Caenorhabditis elegans: one gene and its partners. The protein of the gene in region 4 interacts with the protein of the main gene of each other region in a pairwise test. Each region holds a gene or a part of one and is shown on either strand. Other genes may lie near its edges.

Region 1 (4,216 bases), on a different chromosome or scaffold from region 4:
TCTTGGTGGTGATCGTAAGAAAGGAGGAGCCGAGTGTATTGCTGTCGACATGGAATATTGAGAATTGACTTGATTTTTGCCTACTAGAAGACTTGATTATGTCATTGAACTTTTTTCATGACCACCAATGAATTATTTCTTGAAACTGTTGATCAATAGTAACCTATAATTAAATATATACTTTTGCCTGTTTTTCATAGATTTCCTGAAGGAATTCCCTTTTTTCCACTGAATTTTAATGAAAAAAGGGAACTTTCTCGTCTGCAAAAAGTAAAAGATCCAAACTTTTCGGTTGTTTTTTTTGATCTTAAAAGCTTTGAAAAAAAAGAATAAATTAGTGAATTTGTCACAAAAGCTTTTTGAGCCGGAAAAGTTTGCCAAAATTACACGTTTTGTTCTGAAGGATTTAGCGAAAATCGATTTTTTTTGCTACTGGGAGTTCGGGAAGTTCATAAAAAACCTGAAATTTGTCTGAATTTCTGTTTTTTCATACTTTGTGACTCGATAACAAGATTTTTCAGTGTGTATATCCGATTTATAATTTAAATTTTACAAATTTTGTGCCGCCGCAGCATTTACTGTAGCGGCGAGATCTCCTTTTCCTTCGGCGAGCCGCTGTCTGATGATCGTCGCCACGGCTTTCTGCGTTCTCCGCTCCAATTTTTGCAATTTCGACTCGATGTCTCGCTTCAAATCCCAATCGATCTTCTTCGGAGCCAACATCGCCAGATCTACGCTGTCGATGGCTTTTTCGTGCAGAACGTCCTAGAAAAAGCGGGGAATTTATGGAAAATTGTGATTTTTCGATGACTCTCTACCTTCAAATGCTCCGTAATTTCTCGCTGAACGATATCCAGATCCATGTCGACGTTTTGCGTGCCGACGGCATCGTCTGGCTTGTGATTCCGGAATTCTCGACCAACTTCGCGACTTTTCTTGGTAGAAGTCTCGCCTTCGTCGTAATCCTCCTCTCTGAAAGGAAAAACAATAGCATTATGCAATTTTTGAATGAAAATGACACTCACTGCATCTCAATTCCATGAATCTTCGACTTCATCGCTAGTAATCGTCGTTTGCGTGCTTTCGCCGCAGCCTCTAACGACGTTTCATGATTTGTGAGACTTTCGATGTCTTCATCGGAATCGCTGTTGTTTTTGTCGGTCATCTGCAAATTTTTAATTATATTCAATACATTTCAGTAATTTTCATGTAAAAAAATCAAAGAAAAAGACGAATTTTAAGCAAAAATCAGCTGAAAAACAAAAAAAATTAATTCAAAAACTCAGTGTGGATTTACGGCGTGTGGTGGGTCTCGCCGCGAAATGGGGGTACGGTCACAGTCGTTTCGCGTGTGCGATTTATGTTTCTCGGGCGGTTGCCATTTTTTGCGCGTGAAAATTCATTTTTCCACGGATTTTCAGCGATTTTCAGGTTTTTTCTTTAATTTTTATTGATTTTCTGTTGAAAATTAACAGTTTTCATTTAGAATTACGTAAAAACAGCGTGCTGAGCGCCTGATTTTGATAAAATTAGGTCTAAATCTGAAAGTAAAAATGCGTTTTGTCCGCATTTTTCGTTTCCTTTCTGAAACCTATAGAAAACAATTTGCAATTTTTATTTCAACATTGATATATGCATACATGGAAAATTCTCATTGAATTTTTCCTGAAAACGTTCAAGAAATTACGTCATTTTCGAAGTTTTTAAATACCCGTTTTCTCAATATCTACAGTTTTCAGGGTCATCATGCTTCGTCAAGGCGCGGGAACTCTCCAGCTTGTGTCTCAAGGCTTCGCCAATGCCGAGCAGGCTCGTGGATTTGCCACTTTGAAGGTAACTAGGCGATTTTTTGAAGCTTCCCACAATTCTCCAATTTTCAGGACATTTCCATCCGTCTGAAGTCGGTCAAGAACATCCAAAAGATCACCAAATCCATGAAGATGGTTGCCGCCGCCAAGTACGCCAAGGCTGAGCGTGAGTTGAAGGTAAAACTTTGATTTTATTCAAGAAAAATCTTTAAATATCAAAATTTTCCAGGGAGCTAGAGCCTACGGAGTCGGAGCCAAGACCTTCTTCGACAACATCGATCCAGTTGTCGAGGGAGTCGAGAAGCAAGAGTCCAAGAAGCAAGTTTTGGTGCTCATTACCTCCGACAGAGGACTTTGCGGTGGAGTTCACTCTTCCATCGTCAAGGAGGCCAAGAACATCCTCAACAACGCCGGAGACAAGGAAATCCGCGTTGTAGCCATCGGAGACAAGTCCAGAGCCGGACTTCAACGTCTTTATGGTAATATTTTGGTTTTTCTCGGGAAAAAGTCTTAAAATTGTGTTTATTTTCCAGCTAACAGCATTCTTCTCTCCGGAAACGAGATTGGACGTGCTCCACCAAGCTTCGCTGATGCTTCCATCGCTGCCAAGGCTATCCTCGACTCTGGATATGACTTTGAGACTGTAAATATTCAAATTCTAGTTAAAAACCCCCCATTTTTTTTTCTTGCAGGGAACCATCTTGTTCAACCGTTTCAAGACCGTCGTCTCGTACGAAACCTCAAAGCTCCAAATTCTTCCATTGGAGGCAATCAAGGCCAAGGAAGCCCTCAGCACGTACGATTCCGTCGACGATGACGTTCTCCAATCGTATTCCGAGTATTCGCTCGCCCAATTGATCTACTACGGAATGAAGGAATCCGCAACCTCAGAGCAGAGCTCCAGAATGACTGCCATGGACGGAGCATCGAAGAACGCCGGTAAGAGGCGGCGATGGACGACGATGCGAAGAATTAGATGATTTCTGATTGAACAGCCCAGAAAATTGCAATTTTGGGCTTGAAATTTGATATTTTTGCTGGAAAACGTATTTTGGGCATTTTTGGAGTTAAAATCGGCTCATTTTCGTGATTTTTCGCGAATATTCTTTTATATTTCCAGACAATTTTCTGATTCGAATGGTTCGCATTCTGTTTTCTAGGAATATCCGGTTTTCGTGTTGCAAATCGCCGAAAAACTACTTTTCTCAACAAAAAAAACTGTTTCAAAACTTTAAAAATGGTCGATTTTCTGCAAAAAAACGTCGGAAATCGTTGAGAATCTGTTTTGTTACAATTTTTTTAAAACCATGTGGAATTTTAATTTAACGTTAAATATCCATTTTCTACTGAAAAACCAGATTTTCTTGCCCAAAAATGTTATTAAAAAATTTGCAGCGACGGGATTTCGGAGTGTCGTTTACCGGCGCGAAATCTTGTTTTTCTCAAATGTTAACTACAGAATCCAAAAAATAGCTACAACATCAAATTTAATTTCTATTTTTTCAGGAGAAATGATCGACAAGCTTACATTGGCCTTCAACAGAACTCGTCAAGCAGTGATTACTCGCGAACTTATCGAAATCATCTCTGGAGCTGCCTGCGTCTAAATATCTCTCTCTCTCTGTCCCTTTTCTACATCCATTGTTGTTCAAACTATCGCTGTTTCGACGCCCCAATTTTCCCCACTTTAAATCCTTCCTGTCACCCCCAAAAATTAGATGTTTCGATTTATTTTTTATTTTTTTGTGTGTAACCCGTTGTTATAGTGATACGTTTGAGTAAATAGTGACACAAAAACAAGCGAAATAAATATATTTTTGTATGATTTCCCGGTCGTGGAAATCATGCAAAAAAATTTGATTAGTATGGTAGTCTTAAAATATTTTTTTTGCGGAAAATTTTTGGGAAAAAATGACGGTAAGAATTACCTAATGCGGATTATTTTGGAAGAAAAAAAAATAGATTAAAAAGAAATTAATTAAAATTTTTTAGGAAAAAACCGATAAATGGATCTCGCGACGATAGAAGGATATGCACAAACCTTATTGGTAAATTTTCAGAAAATTTCAAATAAATGTTAGATTTTAACAATTATTTGCTAAAAAATTCTGAATTTTCCTGAATAATCGTTAAATCCGTGATTTTCCGAATTTTTGAGTGAAAAAAACGGCAAATTTTCGGTTTTTTTCAGGAAAAATTCTCTAAAACCCCAATTTTTCAGGCCCCACCGAACCTGGTGACGTCAGAAGCCCGTGAACAAGTCACATTCTTTTTCGAGGATTTAAAGAAGAAAATTTCAATTAACGAATGTTTAATTCTGCTCAGTACGTTGGAAAATCGCTGAAAAAACTTGGTTTTTGACAAGAAATTCACGAAAAACGCTAGGAAATCGCTAAAACCCTTAATTT
Region 2 (5,806 bases), on a different chromosome or scaffold from region 4:
AATCGTAGTCCTCTGATTGCCGACGCGGCGAATACTTGCCCAGTTGCTCCGATACATAATACTGTGATAGATGCAAGAATAACGATTATGTCTGAAAATATAGTCAGACTAGACACGAACTATTGTAGTGCGAACCGATGACGCAGTAAGCACTTGTGGCAAATCGTATCCGTCCGCTAATGCCTCGGTATCTTGAGCGGCATCCGGCTGACCAGACGCGGCAGATATATTCAGTAGCCAGCCAGATCACAAATACTATTTCCTGAACACTTTTAGTCATAAATTTAGGGCTATTAAACTTAAATTAAATTAAATTTGTTATCTTACCAAATAATATAACACAATTGTTGCATTAACTTCAAAATCTGGCATCGTAGAAAACACTGACAGCGCTAAGCACATTAGGACCATGAATAATCTGAAAAATGTTTTTTTTTAAATTAATTGTATTATTTTTCTCCGTAAGCTCACACTGCAAGATGATAAGTGGCAGCTTTCCAGCCACGCGGCCTTTCCAAAAAGTTATGCATTTTGTTCTGCATTCTTCGAAATCGTTGATCAGTACGATAGTTTTTATAGGTTAACGGTTTTCCAACTAATGACATTTTTCGGTTTCCTTCCTGAAATAGGCTAGCATTATTAAGATTGAGCAAAGAAATTGAGAATCATTGATTCAAAGCAATGGGTTGAAAGGGATGTTTCCCCTGCAGAAGCCACCCAACCCGACGGTTTTATGGCAACTCCATGTGGCAATGCTTAACTTTACTATCCTACACACAAGATTTATTGATTTTAAGTGGAAACCAACCTCAGAATCGTGTAGAGTTGTCAGTTGATCGTGTTCACTCGGGAATCCAATATCTAGAAAGTATTCAACTGGTTATTGTAAAAGCTTATTAATAATGCTTACCGGGTTCTTGAAATACAACTGTTTTTCGAGATTCTTGACCGATTGCTGAAGACGAGCCAGCTTCCTGCTGCTCATCACTTGGAGCTGCTTGATCAGTCTGAAAACGTCACTGAAAATTTGAACAGAAGTACATCTGAGGGTTAATAAGACTTCATCCCAAACCATTTTCAACGACTGCTTCTAAATGTATTCTCTCATAAGTGACTTCGTTACCCAATATCAGTAAACAAGAGTAACCCTTTGAGCAGAAAAAAAATGACTACAAGTAGAAAAATGTAGAGGTAGAAGCAGTCAGTCATGATATTCAATAAATAAATCCTCAGTAGTTTAAATAGTCGTAGTTAAGAGTAAGTATAATGATTGCGTTCTAATCTTATCTTCTTATTCTAGGATAATCATGCTAAACATTTGTTTATCTTTGACATCTCATGGATTATGAGCAAGACGTTTTTGATGTGAGGAAACTAATAACAAAAAACTTGGAAACACTTCCAAATGTTTGAACATTCACAAGAACAGGTGGAAGTTATAGACAGAAGGTTTTGTGAGAAAATCGGCAGTTTAGTACGCCCACTTTGATTATATGTTTCACGCTAGTAGAAATTACTTTAAGTTAATCAATATATGTTGTTGAAAGTAAATTTGCAAAAGTGTTGATTTTATGAGTGTCACAATGTTGACCGTTTATGATATATAAAAATAAAATCTGTCTGAATTCTTATTCTGCTAGCTTTCAAAAATGAGCTCTAGAGCTGTATAGTGTGAACAATAGAAAAGATTTTGTATGTTCAGCTGTGAGCTGGAGTTGTAAAGAGATACAAGAATTCTACCTATAAAAAGTAAATATGGAAAGCATGGATATCTTTTTTTCTCACATCCTCTTTTAGTCGGATTGAAAAAAAATCATAAAAATCATCGTCTCAGAAATATAAAATAGCTATTATTAGGCAAAGAATTGGAGTTGTCGAGTGAGTCTGTGCACTTTATACACACACCAACACACTTTTGAAACCAGAGGTGACGTTAATCGCGCGTGTGAGCTCTAATTTTATATTTCACCATTTTTTGGTGAGTTGGTAAGAGGTGTTTGTTTATAGAAAGATGACGATGACTATAATCAAGCCAGTGCGGAATCTAAGATTTTTGTAAGCAGAATTCGTAGTGATACTAGAAAATTGGTGTTTTCTTTTTTTCTCTCACAATCAGTATTATATCAGTATGGCAATAGTCGTCAGGAACTGCCGAAGAGAAATGTGTGAAGAGATGAGAGAATCAGAGCTGTCAAGCTCGGCTCGAAGAAGCCTTAGAAATGACCACTGCTTTCTTCATGAAAAGAGAAATTGCATAACAGAAAACAATCATCAGAATATGAATTGGTATTGATAAATATTCTAGACAATGAGTGTCAAAAAATAACAACTTATTTTGTTTCTCTAATATAAAACAATTCAAAAAGGTGTTCAGACTCGTATTTAGTCATGTGGGAAGCACACCAATAGATTTGAGACAAGAGGGATGCGTATTCGGTCGAAACCGGATACTAAAATGAATGTCAAAATGATTTAGGTTCGTCCGCTCTAGTAGTGTTTCAAGTTACAAGTCACAATAATCCAAAATATTTTCGTCACATGCTTCAAATATTCCCACCGTTTTTTTCTGTGACCGGCTCACCATGGCTACCGGACTCAATTTTCTCATTGTTAACCACATACTCACCGAGCTTCCACTTTCTTCGTCCATTGAGCTTCGGATTTGATGGAGGGTTGCGGAAAAGGGCAAAATAAAATCAAGATTTACGACGACAAGTCATAAATTATCAAGGAAACGAGAAAAGCACAGTTATCAAGGGGAGGCAACGCTGCTAACAATCAGTGTGCCCTTTCGATTGTTATCTCACCGCTTCTGAGCTCTGTCCGACTGAGCGCTATTTTTCTTGGGGAATCGCCACGCCCACATCCCTATTTCTCCTCTCTCTTTTGCATCCGAAAAAGCGGGGGCAATTGGGTGGCGAGTAATATCGGTTGAGAGACGGAGCACAAAGTGCTCTGTTGCTTGAAACAACGCGAACCGAGAGGGTAAAGGGAATGGTGCGCTTTTTAAATTTTAATTATTGCGATGCAAAATATTATGAAAAGTAATTGCAACTAAAATGAAATGTCTATTTTCCCATTTTTCTTGAAAATTGTTCACTAATTTAGAAACTTTTGTCAAAGAGATACACTTTTTTCTTACAAACTTGTTTTGAAAAAACAAAAGACTGAAGAACATAATGTGCTCTGTAATCTGAGGCTTAGGATCAGCGCTAAATAGAGAATACTAATGCGATCTCAAGGTTAATCGAAATTGTATTGTTGCTTCCATCTTGATGTTTGTCTGGGAAATAGCAACGTTTTGTGAGCTTGTGTGAGCACAACCCAATCCAGAAAAAAGAAGGATTTGATATTGAATAGGAATCCAAATGAAGAAGCAATGTTTACGGAAAAAAAGGAGAAGAGGGGGACATTAAGACATTCAACAGGCTTCTTGCATCTGGGGTGATAAATCCCCCTTCTTCACTCCACCTACATACATACCTCGTCTCCATTGAGCATACTGCAGCTCACTGATTTCACTGTGTTCCAATTTCCAATGAGACCTGGCAACGGATTAAAAATGCAAATTAGATTCTCTTGTTCGCACGCCGTCGTCTTACCTGGGTGCCAAGGCATTCGTGCCAATATCATTCCGTCTGGAGTCATTGGTGACTCTGGGGACAATAAATCTCCACCGTCATTGTCTTCTTGTGAAGCTTGAGACATATCTTCAAAATTGAAACTTTGACTGTGAAAATTTTGCAAGTTGAAAAGTGAAAAAAATTTCGACATTAAGTGATGCGATATGAAAACCTATAAAGCGCGTTCCTAAGACAATAACAATGACGAGTAGCCAACCCATCAATATCTATGATTATGTCAATAAAACACTCGAAACTTTTGAAGTGCTTTAGGGTAATGACGAAATTAAATATACCCCCCGTTTCACTTGATTCCAAATCAGTTCTTTGTTTAACAGTTACGATTTACCAAAGTTCATTTGAAAAATTCTATGTAACTAAAAGTTATTTCAGAATCTTCAAACTCGTTCTACTCGTAGCTGCCGTGGGATTTGTATCAACTCGGTTTGCTCAAGGTAAGATTATTTTGGAAATACTTCTCAATGTTTCGACATTGTCTATCGAACAGCACCAAAACTTTTTCAAAAAATTAACATCATTCTCACAAATTGAAGAAGGTTGCAATGTATTGCTATATGAAACTTACAATTGAAAGTTTTCAGTCAAACTCTTCAACTGGAGCTACAAGGATTTTGGAACCAACGCCTTCACTGATATTTCCCTTGACCAACGTCAACACTACCACGATTTTCCAGTAAGATAGTTTTTCGTTCCAACTAGGCCCGTAAATGCTATTCTATTTTCAGACTGGAACATGCCCGGACGGATGGGTTCGCTTCTCGGACTCGTGCTACTGGATAGAACAGCACAAGCAAAGCTTTGCTGAGGCTGAGAAACGGTGCTATGAGAAAAACGCGACACTTTTCGTGGTCAACTCACAGGATGAATGGGTAAGAAAACGAACAAAAAGGGCGCGAGGGGCAGGAGAGAAGCGGACTGTGACAAACGCCGCTCCGTCACCACTGCCACGGCGAAAAGCCAACCCACATATGTTTGGAATTTGTTGCGAATAGATGTCGCGAGTTGGTAATGCATACCCAATGATCTGTAGAGAGAACCACAAGTGGTCCGGGTGGGAGAAGGGAATGATCATCAAATTAACTGCTGAATCAATTGCGAAAACGTGAGCAAAAACTTAATAAATCAATTTCAGGATGCCGTCCGTGAGCATTTCCCACAAACCGGTTACACCTGGATTGGTCTTGTTCGTTTCACCCACTTTGAGAAATCCCAAGATGCTCCAATTTGGCAGACCGAAGGAGCCGTCAACCCAACTAGACTGTAAGCATTTGCCCTAATGCAGAAGTTTGACATTACCAAAAACTTTTCAAAATGTATTAATTTTTAGCAACTGGCTCATCCGCCCATACAAACCAGTTTCTAATGGATGGTCTGCTCTTGCCAACTGTGCTGCTCACTTCAGTGCCGCTATCAACTGGGACGCTTCTGCCTACACATACTTCCAGCCATGCTCTTTCAAGTTCTACTCGATCTGCGAGAGAAACGGAACTATTCTTGATTTTTTGAACAGAAAGTTTGATTTCCAAGATTAAATTGTATTATAAACGCGATCAATAATTGTATTTAATCTCAACTTGTGTCTATAAAAAACTGTATACTATGTATATTTTTCAATTGTTCAACTCAATAAAGTTTCCATAATATTAATTATTTTTTACTTTTTTTCGGATGAAAATTTATATTTGTAATAATAAATTGAAAAGGTAATTCAAAAAAAACAACAGTGGGAAAAATGACGAATTTGGTCATTTGAAGTCATGTTTTCAGACTTTGTCAAGGCAAAACTTTTAGCGGCTGAACTCAACCCAAAACGCGGTCTGGAATATTTTGAATGCAGTTTTTTCACTAGTTTTTAAACCCGTTAAACTGCTCCAAAAAATGTTTCAAAAAATTCAACATTTTTTGATCGAGTTAGTTCAAAAATGTTCAGTTGTTTTTTTTCAAAAATAATTAAAAAATTTTAAAAAAAGCCTTCCAGATTATTTTCCTGCCACCAGACAACTCTAGAAAAAATTCAGAAAATCTGCAGACATCCCGTAAGCGATTAAAATAATTCTAAGAAATGATGGACTAAAAATATTTCAGACCGCGTTTTCAGGAGTTCTGAAATGAGTTCAGTCGTTCACATTTTTGTGGTGAATAAGTTTAAACATAATCTTCCA
Region 3 (4,952 bases), on a different chromosome or scaffold from region 4:
TCACACTGTAAATGCGTGTAGAATCACGAACACTGATAAAAACGGCTGGCAATCAGCTGATATAATGAACCGGTACTTTCAGAAGTACTAAATCCGACGAACTTGTTCTTCATGACTATGGACTTGAAGAAATTCCAATGCGGTATCATATTGAGCAGCCAGAAGAAGATTACGATCCACAAAATGTTAAAAAGTTGGATCTCACTCATAACTCTTTCGTGATTCTTCGTGGTCTCACAACTTTCAATAATGTCTCGGTTCTTGATGTATCGTTCAATTCACTTTCGGCTTTACCAGAAGATATTGGTACTCTGAGCAGTTTGACGTGAGTACATCAGTTACCAAGTTAAAATTTAATTGACTTGAGTTGATTTCAGAACTCTAATTGCTCGAAACAACTTGTTGGAACATTTACCAAAAGGATTGCAACTTCTTGAGAATTTGGAACATCTTTATCTTTCTGGAAATCGACTTGAATACGTACCACCAGTCATTTTGACTATGAGAAAATTGAAAACTCTTCATCTCGGAGGAAATTACATCGACAGTTGCCCATCAAACATTAGTGTTCTTACGTTGTAAGTTTCCTGAAACTGTGTTTAAAAACTGTTAATCATTTCATTTTTTAGACTGAGAGTTCTATATCTCGGAGGTAATCGACTCCGTGAAATTCCTGCATCCATTGGTTGCCTAGATGAATTGGAAAACCTTGGTCTTTGTGATAATATTCTAGAGACAATTCCATCAACATTAGGAGATTTGCACTATTTGGAGACTTTGTCCTTGCATAACAACAGATTGCGAACTCTGCCCACTGATATTTTAAATCTGCGACGTCTGCAGCAATTATCTCTCCGTAACAATCCTCTGGTTCATTCATTCGTTCATAATATGGATCTTGCACCTCCATCATTGAAAGAATTATCAGGAAGAACTGTTCGACAGAACTATCACAAAGTACCGAATCTGGACGAAATTTTGCCATCGTAAGTCTTATCAAATCTTTAATTTTATTTTATGTTGGGGACATTCTAGTGATTCAAAATTGTATCAAATTGAACCCTGACGTGACCTTGTTTCTGATCAGAGTACGATATTTTTGAATCAAATTGTTTATCGAATGCCTTACAATAACCCTTTTCAGTGATCTCGTAGCTTATCTAGGATCCGCTTGTCAATGTGTCAACCCTGAATGTCAAGGAGTCTACTTCGATGCTCGAGTTGAGCATATAAAATTTGTGGATTTCTGCGGAAAGTATCGAGTTCCACTTATGCAGTTCCTGTGCTCACCACGTTGCTCCGCCGGAGTTCCATCAGTCGACTACGATACTTCGTCTGAATCAGAAGAGGAGATTGAGCCAATCATGAGAAGAGTCTTGCTTGGTTGAATTTCGTGTTAATGTATTTTAATTCAAACTTAGAATCTCAGTTGTGATCTCGTTATATTGACATTTTCATGTTTTTTTTTCATACGCCGAGGAATTATATGAACTGTTTTTTGGGTACACTTTCCAACTATAGTTAGAGACGATTAAAAAGACTAAACCAAATCGATTTGTACTAAAACCCGAAGAAGATTAACAAAGGGAGGTCATGACATGGATATTCAATGTGATTTATCGACTCATTCGAAACAATGCAAACTTTGACATTAATTTTTATATTTTCTGTGATTTTGACTGTATTCCATGTGGAATGTGCAACAAGAGCACCAAAACTTTCGAAACACACAAAGGTGAGCATTTATTTTCTGGAAAGGAATGAAAGTTGCTATCTTTTTTTCTTGAAACGCGAAACTTTGGTTGCAAAAATGTTTTTCTCAAATTTTTTTAGTTGTGCAAAATTAATAGCCTTTGGGGTACGGTTACTACATAAGTTCCCTGTTTTTGGTTTTTTTTTTGCTCAAAGTAAAAAAAAACATTTAATTTGTGGAATTTAGACAATGTATCATTTATCAAATTTGATTTTCGAACGATGATCTCTGCAAAAGTCCTAAATATCATCTTCTCTAACACCTTGCAATTCTTGTTAACCGGTTTACAAGTCTCAATTTGCAAACACAAAATTTAATATAGTTTTAAGGCCTAATCTCTGAATTTTCTGTGTCACAAGGGGGTATTCCCCAGGTTTTTTTTCAGAAAATGTTCATTGTCCCACCACAACTGATGATATCAAATTATAGAAAACAGTCAACAAGTTGGTCAACTGTCTGACTCCCGTGGACACCGTTTTGGCCGCCAAGACAGCCGATTGTGAAGACAGTATCTGTGTGTCAAGTGCTAAACAATATGCACAGAGACGATATCCAACACAGTATCATAGTACAGTAGTCCCATGTCTCTCATCAACAACTACATTGGCTCCTGTCACTGAGAAAATGGAGAAAACCAAGAAAAATGGAACTAAGAACAGGAAAATGAAGGTGGAAGGCGTTGTCAACCAAGAATAATTGGAATTGAAGAAATAAATAAATTTTCAGTCTTTTTAAATTATAATTTAGCTCACCTTGACACTTCCGGTAGCTTTCAAATTTGAAAGGTTTCGCTTTGTAAGCACATTGAGCAGCGTAGTTTTTCCAGCTCCACTGGGTCCAATGATCGCGGTAACCTCTCCGGGTCGAGCCACTCCGAACACTGAAAGTTATTATAATTTCGTTTCCGATAGTATCAAATTTACCACTATCTAAAATCCGTTTTTCCACTGACATCTTCTCTACATCACCGACTTTGATCGGGCAACATTTTCCAAAAAGTCCACTATTTGAAGAGTAGTCTTCTGAAGAGTCCTGAAAATTCTAAATATTGTTCACAACAAAATTTTTTATTATATACCGAAACTGAAATATCGTGCCATGTCAGCAGCATTTTTGGTCGAAGCTCTTCCATAAACTGTAAAAATTAAAAATTAATTGAAAACTATGCAAAAATAAAAAATCACGGATTTATCAGCTTTATCAATATCAGAAGTTGAATCCACTACACTCATTGACTCGATTGAACCTTGAATAACATTTGATTTGAGCATTTTTGCTGAAAAAGGTGAAAAATGAGTATAAATTGATTAAACCGAAGGCGGCGGTAATAAAATTCAAAGAAGCGCGAAAAATAAATCATTGACCCCGCAAACACCGGTACGCAAACTTGCACACACAGTTCACCGTACTTGACGACAAATTATCAGAAGAAATGGGTGAATCACCGACGACGGTGAAAATTTTAATCGGACAGAAAAACCGATAGGGAGTTTTCAATATCGAATAAAAATCATGTGCATCTCACACAAAAATTCATAAACGCAAAGACAAACAAACAGAATCGATTCGACTCGTCATCAACAAGAGCTCACTTGCGGAGCTCTGTGCACCACGGTCGATGACGATTGTCGGAAATGATAAGTGACATTCTTATCATCCAACACAACAGAAGGGCTCATTGTGTTGAAAAAATCAACGACGATGGACGACAGTCAAGAGTCGAGTTTTTCGGTTTCCAAATATGAAACGTAAGTCGAATAGAGTACGGTATTCGGAAAATCTGAAATTTAAATTTTTAGAAATGATGATGGATCTATGGGCCAATTCATTTCAATAAATGTAAGTTAAACTTCCATTAACAGTTTTTCAAAAGTCTGAGAAGGTAGATCAATATAATTCATTAGAGCGCATTTGCTCGCCTTGGATCAAAAACTTGGAAATCTATAATAATAATTTGAAGGAATGTGAACGGGAAATTCAAATGTTAGAACGTGACATTCGTCAACAGAAAGAGTCCAGTGCAAATGCGAAAACAGCGATAACATTCGATCAACTTCGGAAAATTCATACGTACGTTCCGGGCCGTCCGATCAGTTTTCCCGTCGGCCTCAATAGCTCACACAGGTAAAGCGCCAAGTGTGAAAAATGGCTGAATAGTGGGTGAAGGGGCGCTGGCGGGTGAACGATGGGGGAAAAATGGGCGAAGGACCGCAAAAAGACGAAGCAATGGGTGAATAAATTGACCAATCCGAAAATCAAAAAAGAAGTAAAAAAGGAGCATAGCAAAGTATTTCCGAAGTATTCATGCATAACTAGTATACGTGTTTATGGAAGTGTTTATTGTTAACAATGTTACAATCAATTGATTGTTGTAATGTTCACTTCATTTCCGAACATCTACTATTAGAGTCATCTGTTGTTGAATAATGTGAAAAACATTTTGTTACTTTTTTAAGGGTTATATTTATAGAAAAAATACCAATTTGTTATTTCCCACAAGTTTGGACATTCATATTACATTCTCAGTCGAACAATCACCTATATAAGAGTTGATTGAGCATATAGACGTCTTACTTTAAAAGACTCATAACTCTGTTGGCATTTGAATTAATAAAATGTGGCCAACTGAAAAGTTGTTGACAATAATGTGAAAAACATTTTGTTAGTTGGTAACTTTTTGTTATCTTTAGTGACTGCGGAGATGTGGGCTTCAAAAGATAACCAAAATATTCTAGATTTGTACTTAAATATATCTCAGTTCTCGATAAAGATGAAGAGATACTTACAACTATCAATATGTTTATTGTTTTAAACTTAACAACGTTGTAGTTGATAACTTTTTGATATCTTGCCTCTAGAATTAGATACATCCATTTTAATACAGGAGGTTTTAATTTTCAGAGCTCCAAGGAATGTCGGTTTGACTTATCGAAAGCACCGAACTTAGCAAAAAAACTTATAGAAACAAACAATTCAACATATTTCTACAATACCTGATAAAAATTTGATAATTTTTGAAAAAAAATTTTTTTTGATTTTTGAAAAAAAAATCCAAAGGGTCCCCCCTTACAAAATTTTTCAAAATTTTTTTTTTGGAAACTTTTTATAATATGATTAGATGTTATAGAAAAATCCAATGTTTGTAATTATTTCTAGTTTGTATGTTCTGAACACGATTTCGGACGAAAACCTGAGGTGT
Region 4 (5,265 bases):
TAGCTCAACTTTGTTCAAACTTCTGCCAACTTCTGATTCAATTTTTTGGACCAGAACTTAATGACAGTTAATGGTAGTTAATCAATGTTGGAACAAAAAATATTGAGTCGGAGACGGTCAATACGAAATGATCAATATTAAAAGTTCCAACTTCAAAAAATATGTGCATACCAGAATTCTGACTAATTTGCATTGTCTTCACACAAAGTGCATTATTCAAACGACAATGTGAGCTCATTGGTTTGACGAGAACTCTGTCCATGTATGATGTTGAGTTGATGCACTCCAGTGATATACATATTAACGGAAGTAATGTCAAAAGTGTGAAAATAGTAACAGAATATACGGAAATACTCATGAGTCTAACACTGGTTGACTTTCGGTGTCAAAGTTGAAAAGGGGTAAGAGTAACAAAAAGAAGAGAAAAAGAGAAACAGTAAACCTTGAAAAATAACCAGTCCCCACCCTTTTCGACCTCTTTTCCGTCAAATTTTCAAAGCGAAACTAATCGTTTTGTCAAATAATTTGAAAGAATATTTCAAGAAGCAATGACATTCATGTATTTATTTATAAATTAAGGGAAATCGACAAGAAGTTCAGCAGTATCTAGTAACAATATTTTTCATCAGATCCATCAGCACAATCTGTTTCTCCATTACACCATTGTAGACGTGTCACTGATTGTTTTTGATTCTCGCAGAGCAAATATTTTTGGCGTCCTTCTTGTTCTGAAATAACAAGTGTAGTATTCGTCAGTGTTTATTTGGACACTTGGCTAAAAATACTTTTTTTCCTATGTTTTTGTCTCGAACAAGAAAAAGTTCGCACATTGAAGTTGTGCCAAAATGTGTGGTTATAGTTAAGAAAGACATTCCAAATTGTATGTATTTCTATTAATGTTGCACTCCCAATGTTAGACTTTGACAATTAAATATCTCAGTTGTCTTTTCTCCTATTTAAAAATTGTCATTTGACAATTTTTTGAAAACTTTTTTCTATCGTTTGCAGTCAATTATTTATTGAAAAATATGTTCAATATCTTTAAATTGAACCGAGGTATAACCTTTTAAAGTGAAATAGTAGGATGCGATATTATTAGAGGAAGTACTGTACATTATTTCGCCACTTATAACTTTCCAGAGGTGTTTTCCGGGTGAGAAGAAGGGAGGCAGAAAAAAACTTACTACAATTCATTTCATCTTCTCCATTTAAACAATCTTTCTTTCCATCACAATGCATATCTAAATCCACACATGAAACACCTCCACGCGATGTTCCACAGACGAACTTTCCAATACAAGCTTTAATTACTTTGTTATAAAGTACATTTTAAAAAGTAAAAATTACTTGTATTTTTACTGCATCCAATTTCATCAAGATTCGATCCATCTTCACAATCATCAGCCACACCGTCACATCTTTTGTTTGCAGGAATACAATGTTCACTCTTCACACATGCAAACTCATCACGTGCACACGATGCTAAAGGTTTTCAATTTAATTGGCAATTGTTGTAATGAGTAACTTACGACAATTGTTCTCATCTTCCCCATCGGCACAGTCTGGGTGACCATCACAACGTTTGCTCACATGGATACAGGATTGAGGCATTGCACAACAAGCAAACTCATTTTCAGTACAGGTGTCTTTGATTGCTGCAATATCAAACACTATTTTATATTGGAGCTTTTTGTAAATAAATATATTTTATAGATTTCGAGAAAAAATCGATGAAATAATTAAGTTTCCATAAAATCAAAATCAGAAAATTGCAGATTTACAAACTTTCAAGCGCACCTCATGGTGCATCAACGCCATATGAAATTTTATACATACTCTTAATTGAATGACTTACTACAGTGCATGACATGATCGTATTCTGGACAGAATTTAATAGCATTCTTGTGATTACAATTTTCAGTAGACTTATCAAATGCTTGATCTTCGGACATACACGCCAGAGGAAAAGTCTGGCCAATTGAACACTGAAAATATGAAAGAAGTTCGGAATTTCAGAAATCTATTGACTGTAGAAATATAAATATTGATAGCATACAAATAAAAATAGCTTATTTCGTGCATACAATAAAGATAAGTTTCAATACTTTAAATTATACATTTGTTCAACTATTTCTGTATTTCAGAAAAATAATTTCCAAAAAATTACCTGGAAGAAAACATGAGAGCATGAAGTGTTGTATACAAAATAATCAATCCTTTCTAATCCATATTGTGCTAGTACATCATCTGGGAATTCTCGTTTATCACAATAGTTAATTGCATAGCTGTTGTCTGGTTTTTCTGGAGCTTGAGTTTGAGGCATTGGTGGTGGGATTGTACCAGGTTCAACGATTCCAGATCCACCAAGTGGAAATACAGGGTTCACAACTTTAAATTGAGGTTCTTCAGTTTCATAAATGTCTACACTATCCACATCTGGTTCGACTACATCCTAAATATTGTTTCTTGATATTCTGGTAATGTAAACAAATATAGACCTATCCTCGGCCCTGGCCCAAGCCTTTATAACTTACAATATTTGGATATGGCTGCTGAACAGTATGAATGCTTGATTGAGGATTTGGAACGTAGCCTCCAGAACCAGACGAAGCACTAGGTTGTACATATGGATAAGGCTGCTGGAAAATATTTATACAATTCACTAAAGAAAAACGATTGTTTTGATTTTTTTCAAAATTAAGTTTTTAAATCGTCTGTGAATCCAATTGGAATCTTTATGTTGCCTAAAACCATAATGATTTTTTGTGCGATTTTTTGTCAAAATTAGGTCTCGATACGACAGAAATATTTTAAATACGGTGATTTTAAATAGTACTGTAGTGCGACTCATTTCACAATTTTTTCGATTTTACATAAATATTTTCCTTGTAGCTCATACCGATTTATATGTAAATACGAAACAAATAGTTAGAAATAAAGCATTAAAATCGGAACGAACGAGGAAAAATTGAAAAAAAAACTTGAACTTGAACTACAGTACTCCTTATAGGTGCAAATCCCTTGGCGAGCCCTTCATTTGAACAATATCTTGGTCGTGGTGAGACCCTAAGCATTAGAAACTTTGAGAAAGAGAAATAAGAACAAATGCTACAAATTTTTGAACAGTTCACTGTACCTGCTGAGTTGCTGTGCCATATAGATCCTGTGGAAGAACCGGTTGAACGGCTAGAAGAATGAAAAATATGGACGTTAACCATGCCATGATTTGCAAAATGATTGGCAATCAAATTTACCGGAACAGATCGAGAGAATGGATGAGCAGATGATAAAGATGGTGGAACTTGATGTTGCTGCCCACTGAAGACTGTAGCTGAAGAAGCACAAGTGTCGTGTGTGCACTGGACTTTCTTCTTTTTCAATTGTTTGTGTTCTTTTCTATCGCTAAAGAAGCTTTTCGCGCTGTTGGGGGCTACTGGTGGTGCGCGGCAACTGATCGCCACTTCAAGCTGACTGACTAGTGGTCACTTGTCACTTGATACGTTCCCACCTTGAGAAACAACACAGGAGCAGACAATAATGAAGCAAAAAAGCAAAAAAAAAAAGTGACACGATGTTAGGACACGAACTTGGTTATAAAAAAGGATTCATAGTATATACATCAAGAATTGAGATTTTATGAAAATAATTAATCTATTCATCTTCTCCATGATGTGCTCGACGAGTGCTCCCAGGACAATGTTCGATCATATCTTCTGGCGAGGAAAAGTTGGCTCCGCACCAAATACAATAGAAGTGACCATCTCGAAGATAATTGTTGATAGTGGAAAGTCTGAAATAAACGCATATTTAATACTATTGTCGGTTTGGATAAATAACGCTCATTGAAACCTTATCTACAAAACAAAAACTTACGCTTCTTCTAAAATTTCCGTTGACATTGTGAAATCATAATTCGGATCTTCTGGAGCTGCTAAACCATTTGAGTACTTATATTCTTCATCTTCTTTTTCAACTTTTTTATGGTAAGATGTAGTTTCCTCTTGAGCAACTTTATAACTTCTCCAAAACCACGAAACACTGGGAACTTTTTTTCCAATTCGATGATCCAACTCTTCGCACACCTTTCGACAAGATCTGATGTCTTTGACTAATTGCTTTGAGTTGGCATCAAGCTTCCGCCGTTTGGAATAGTCATCGATCAGCTCTTCATGCTTTGCCGCTTGTTCTTTCATTTTTTGCATTACAGCCTCAACTCGTTCATTGCGTTCTTGAACTGCTTCAACCTCGTGCCCAAGTCCCTTCCTATTAGCCTTGATATCGACACCAATTGGTTCCGTAATTCGAATTTCGTCTTCTCTTTGCTTTCCCAATGTCATACCAGGTTTGAATCCCATTTTTGCCATCAATGCAAATCCTTTCGATTCGTGGCTAATCGGTTTTGCGAGCGCCTCGTCGCGACGTTCTTTTTCTGAAATTTATTTGGTAAACTACAAAAATAATATACTACGATTTACAAACCTCGCTCAGCATGACTAGTTGGCCTTTTTGGTTTAAACGTGTCTCTGGACTCTTCAAATCTTGAATTTATTTGTAGTTCTCGCTTGTGAGCTCTAGATTTTGCAATTCCAACTGGTTGTTCACTAACTCCTTGGAGAATTTCAGCAGACATGTAGTCATCCTCATCGTCAGACATTCTGATCTTGAATCGAAATTTTTTATGAATAAGGTTAGCTTTTAACAAGAAGAAAGAAACAAAAGCGTAGCAAAAAACGCATTAGAATATTGAAACAGTTAGAAAATATTTTTCATTTCACATCGGCCGATGCATCGGGTTCATCTCGTAAAATATAAAACATGAGGTAACAACATTTGGAAACTCGGGAATGATCTGACAAAGCATAAAACATAATTAAAAGGTGAGCGAATCAATTTTGAGACCGTAAAATATTATTTGTACTATTGAGATTCTTCAATACCATTCTAGAACCGTCTCTTCGTATTAACTCTTTTCACTGTTCCATCTGGATAACGTTTCGAAAGGAAACTTATTCCGTGCTCGTCCTTCCCCAAACAATAAATATACTCTGGACGACAACTGATTGTGATCCTGTTGACGAGTCGCTCATCGTGAGTGATTACTACCATCTATAAGTTTGATTATTAGTTTTGATAGCTCATTATCCCATACCTGCATATCTCTTCCTCTCAACTTTCCATTTTCATCGAATCCGCGTCTTTCAGCAATTATATCTGCCAAAACGATAGCCATTCCTTCCACTTTGCTCTCATCCAAATTTGTTGTTG

What was found.
Region 1: the proteins of lrx-1 (region 4) and Y69A2AR.18 interact in a two-hybrid assay, tested with the Caenorhabditis elegans proteins (one large-scale study listed by BioGRID).
Region 2: the proteins of lrx-1 (region 4) and clec-266 interact in a two-hybrid assay, tested with the Caenorhabditis elegans proteins (one large-scale study listed by BioGRID).
Region 3: the proteins of lrx-1 (region 4) and wht-7 interact in a two-hybrid assay, tested with the Caenorhabditis elegans proteins (one large-scale study listed by BioGRID).

What each region holds. Positions count from the first base shown.
Region 1 is NC_003282.8:2,494,003-2,498,218, forward strand, and holds Y69A2AR.18 (F-ATPase gamma subunit), read left to right. Parts: upstream 1-1,732; 5' UTR 1,733-1,746; coding exon 1,747-1,833; intron 1,834-1,880; coding exon 1,881-1,985; intron 1,986-2,037; coding exon 2,038-2,287; intron 2,288-2,341; coding exon 2,342-2,451; intron 2,452-2,500; coding exon 2,501-2,747; intron 2,748-3,314; coding exon 3,315-3,415; 3' UTR 3,416-3,673; downstream 3,674-4,216. Other genes in the region: Y69A2AR.19 (Protein-tyrosine-phosphatase), read left to right, coding at 1-61; ccdc-12 (Coiled-coil domain-containing protein 12), read right to left, coding at 550-765, 819-972, 1,026-1,165; Y69A2AR.16 (Exportin-4), read left to right, coding at 3,815-3,856, 4,030-4,132.
Region 2 is NC_003284.9:6,616,924-6,622,729, reverse strand, and holds clec-266 (C-type lectin domain-containing protein), read left to right. Parts: upstream 1-1,923; 5' UTR 1,924-2,626; coding exon of another isoform or gene 2,627-2,650; 5' UTR 2,651-3,483; coding exon of another isoform or gene 3,484-3,545; 5' UTR 3,546-3,602; coding exon of another isoform or gene 3,603-3,708; 5' UTR 3,709-3,900; coding exon 3,901-4,078; intron 4,079-4,225; coding exon 4,226-4,317; intron 4,318-4,369; coding exon 4,370-4,513; intron 4,514-4,776; coding exon 4,777-4,904; coding exon of another isoform or gene 4,905-4,908; exon of another isoform or gene 4,909-4,971; coding exon 4,972-5,176; 3' UTR 5,177-5,291; downstream 5,292-5,806. Other genes in the region: kqt-1 (Potassium voltage-gated channel subfamily KQT member 5), read right to left, coding at 1-91, 136-262, 328-418, 472-620, 809-861, 911-1,007, 3,484-3,545, 3,603-3,708.
Region 3 is NC_003281.10:6,146,562-6,151,513, forward strand, and holds the start of wht-7 (ABC transporter domain-containing protein), read right to left. Parts: upstream 3,030-4,952; 5' UTR 3,025-3,029; coding exon 2,938-3,024; intron 2,889-2,937; coding exon 2,832-2,888; intron 2,786-2,831; coding exon 2,677-2,785; intron 2,634-2,676; coding exon 2,506-2,633; intron 2,487-2,505; exon of another isoform or gene 2,450-2,486; coding exon of another isoform or gene 2,183-2,449; intron 1,736-2,182; coding exon of another isoform or gene 1,637-1,735; exon of another isoform or gene 1,625-1,636; intron 1,506-1,624; exon of another isoform or gene 1,389-1,505; coding exon of another isoform or gene 1,145-1,388; exon of another isoform or gene 991-1,144; coding exon of another isoform or gene 630-990; intron 579-629; coding exon of another isoform or gene 378-578; intron 326-377; coding exon of another isoform or gene 83-325; intron 1-82. Other genes in the region: Y42G9A.3 (Leucine-rich repeat and WD repeat-containing protein 1 LRR domain-containing protein), read left to right, coding at 83-325, 378-578, 630-986, 1,145-1,388; Y42G9A.2 (uncharacterized protein), read left to right, coding at 1,637-1,735, 2,183-2,449; rotr-1 (Nbl1_Borealin_N domain-containing protein), read left to right, coding at 3,455-3,501, 3,553-3,592, 3,714-3,823.
Region 4 is NC_003283.11:12,250,736-12,256,000, reverse strand, and holds lrx-1 (LRP X(cross)-hybridizing), read right to left. Parts: upstream 3,317-5,265; 5' UTR 3,224-3,316; coding exon 3,137-3,223; intron 2,640-3,136; coding exon 2,535-2,639; intron 2,453-2,534; coding exon 2,168-2,452; intron 1,986-2,167; coding exon 1,856-1,985; intron 1,656-1,855; coding exon 1,530-1,655; intron 1,483-1,529; coding exon 1,348-1,482; intron 1,302-1,347; coding exon 1,185-1,301; intron 729-1,184; coding exon 607-728; 3' UTR 551-606; downstream 1-550. Other genes in the region: T04H1.12 (Activin_recp domain-containing protein), read right to left, coding at 172-358; T04H1.5 (G patch domain-containing protein 11), read right to left, coding at 3,652-3,790, 3,874-4,429, 4,480-4,654; rad-50 (Zinc-hook domain-containing protein), read right to left, coding at 4,942-5,106, 5,150-5,265.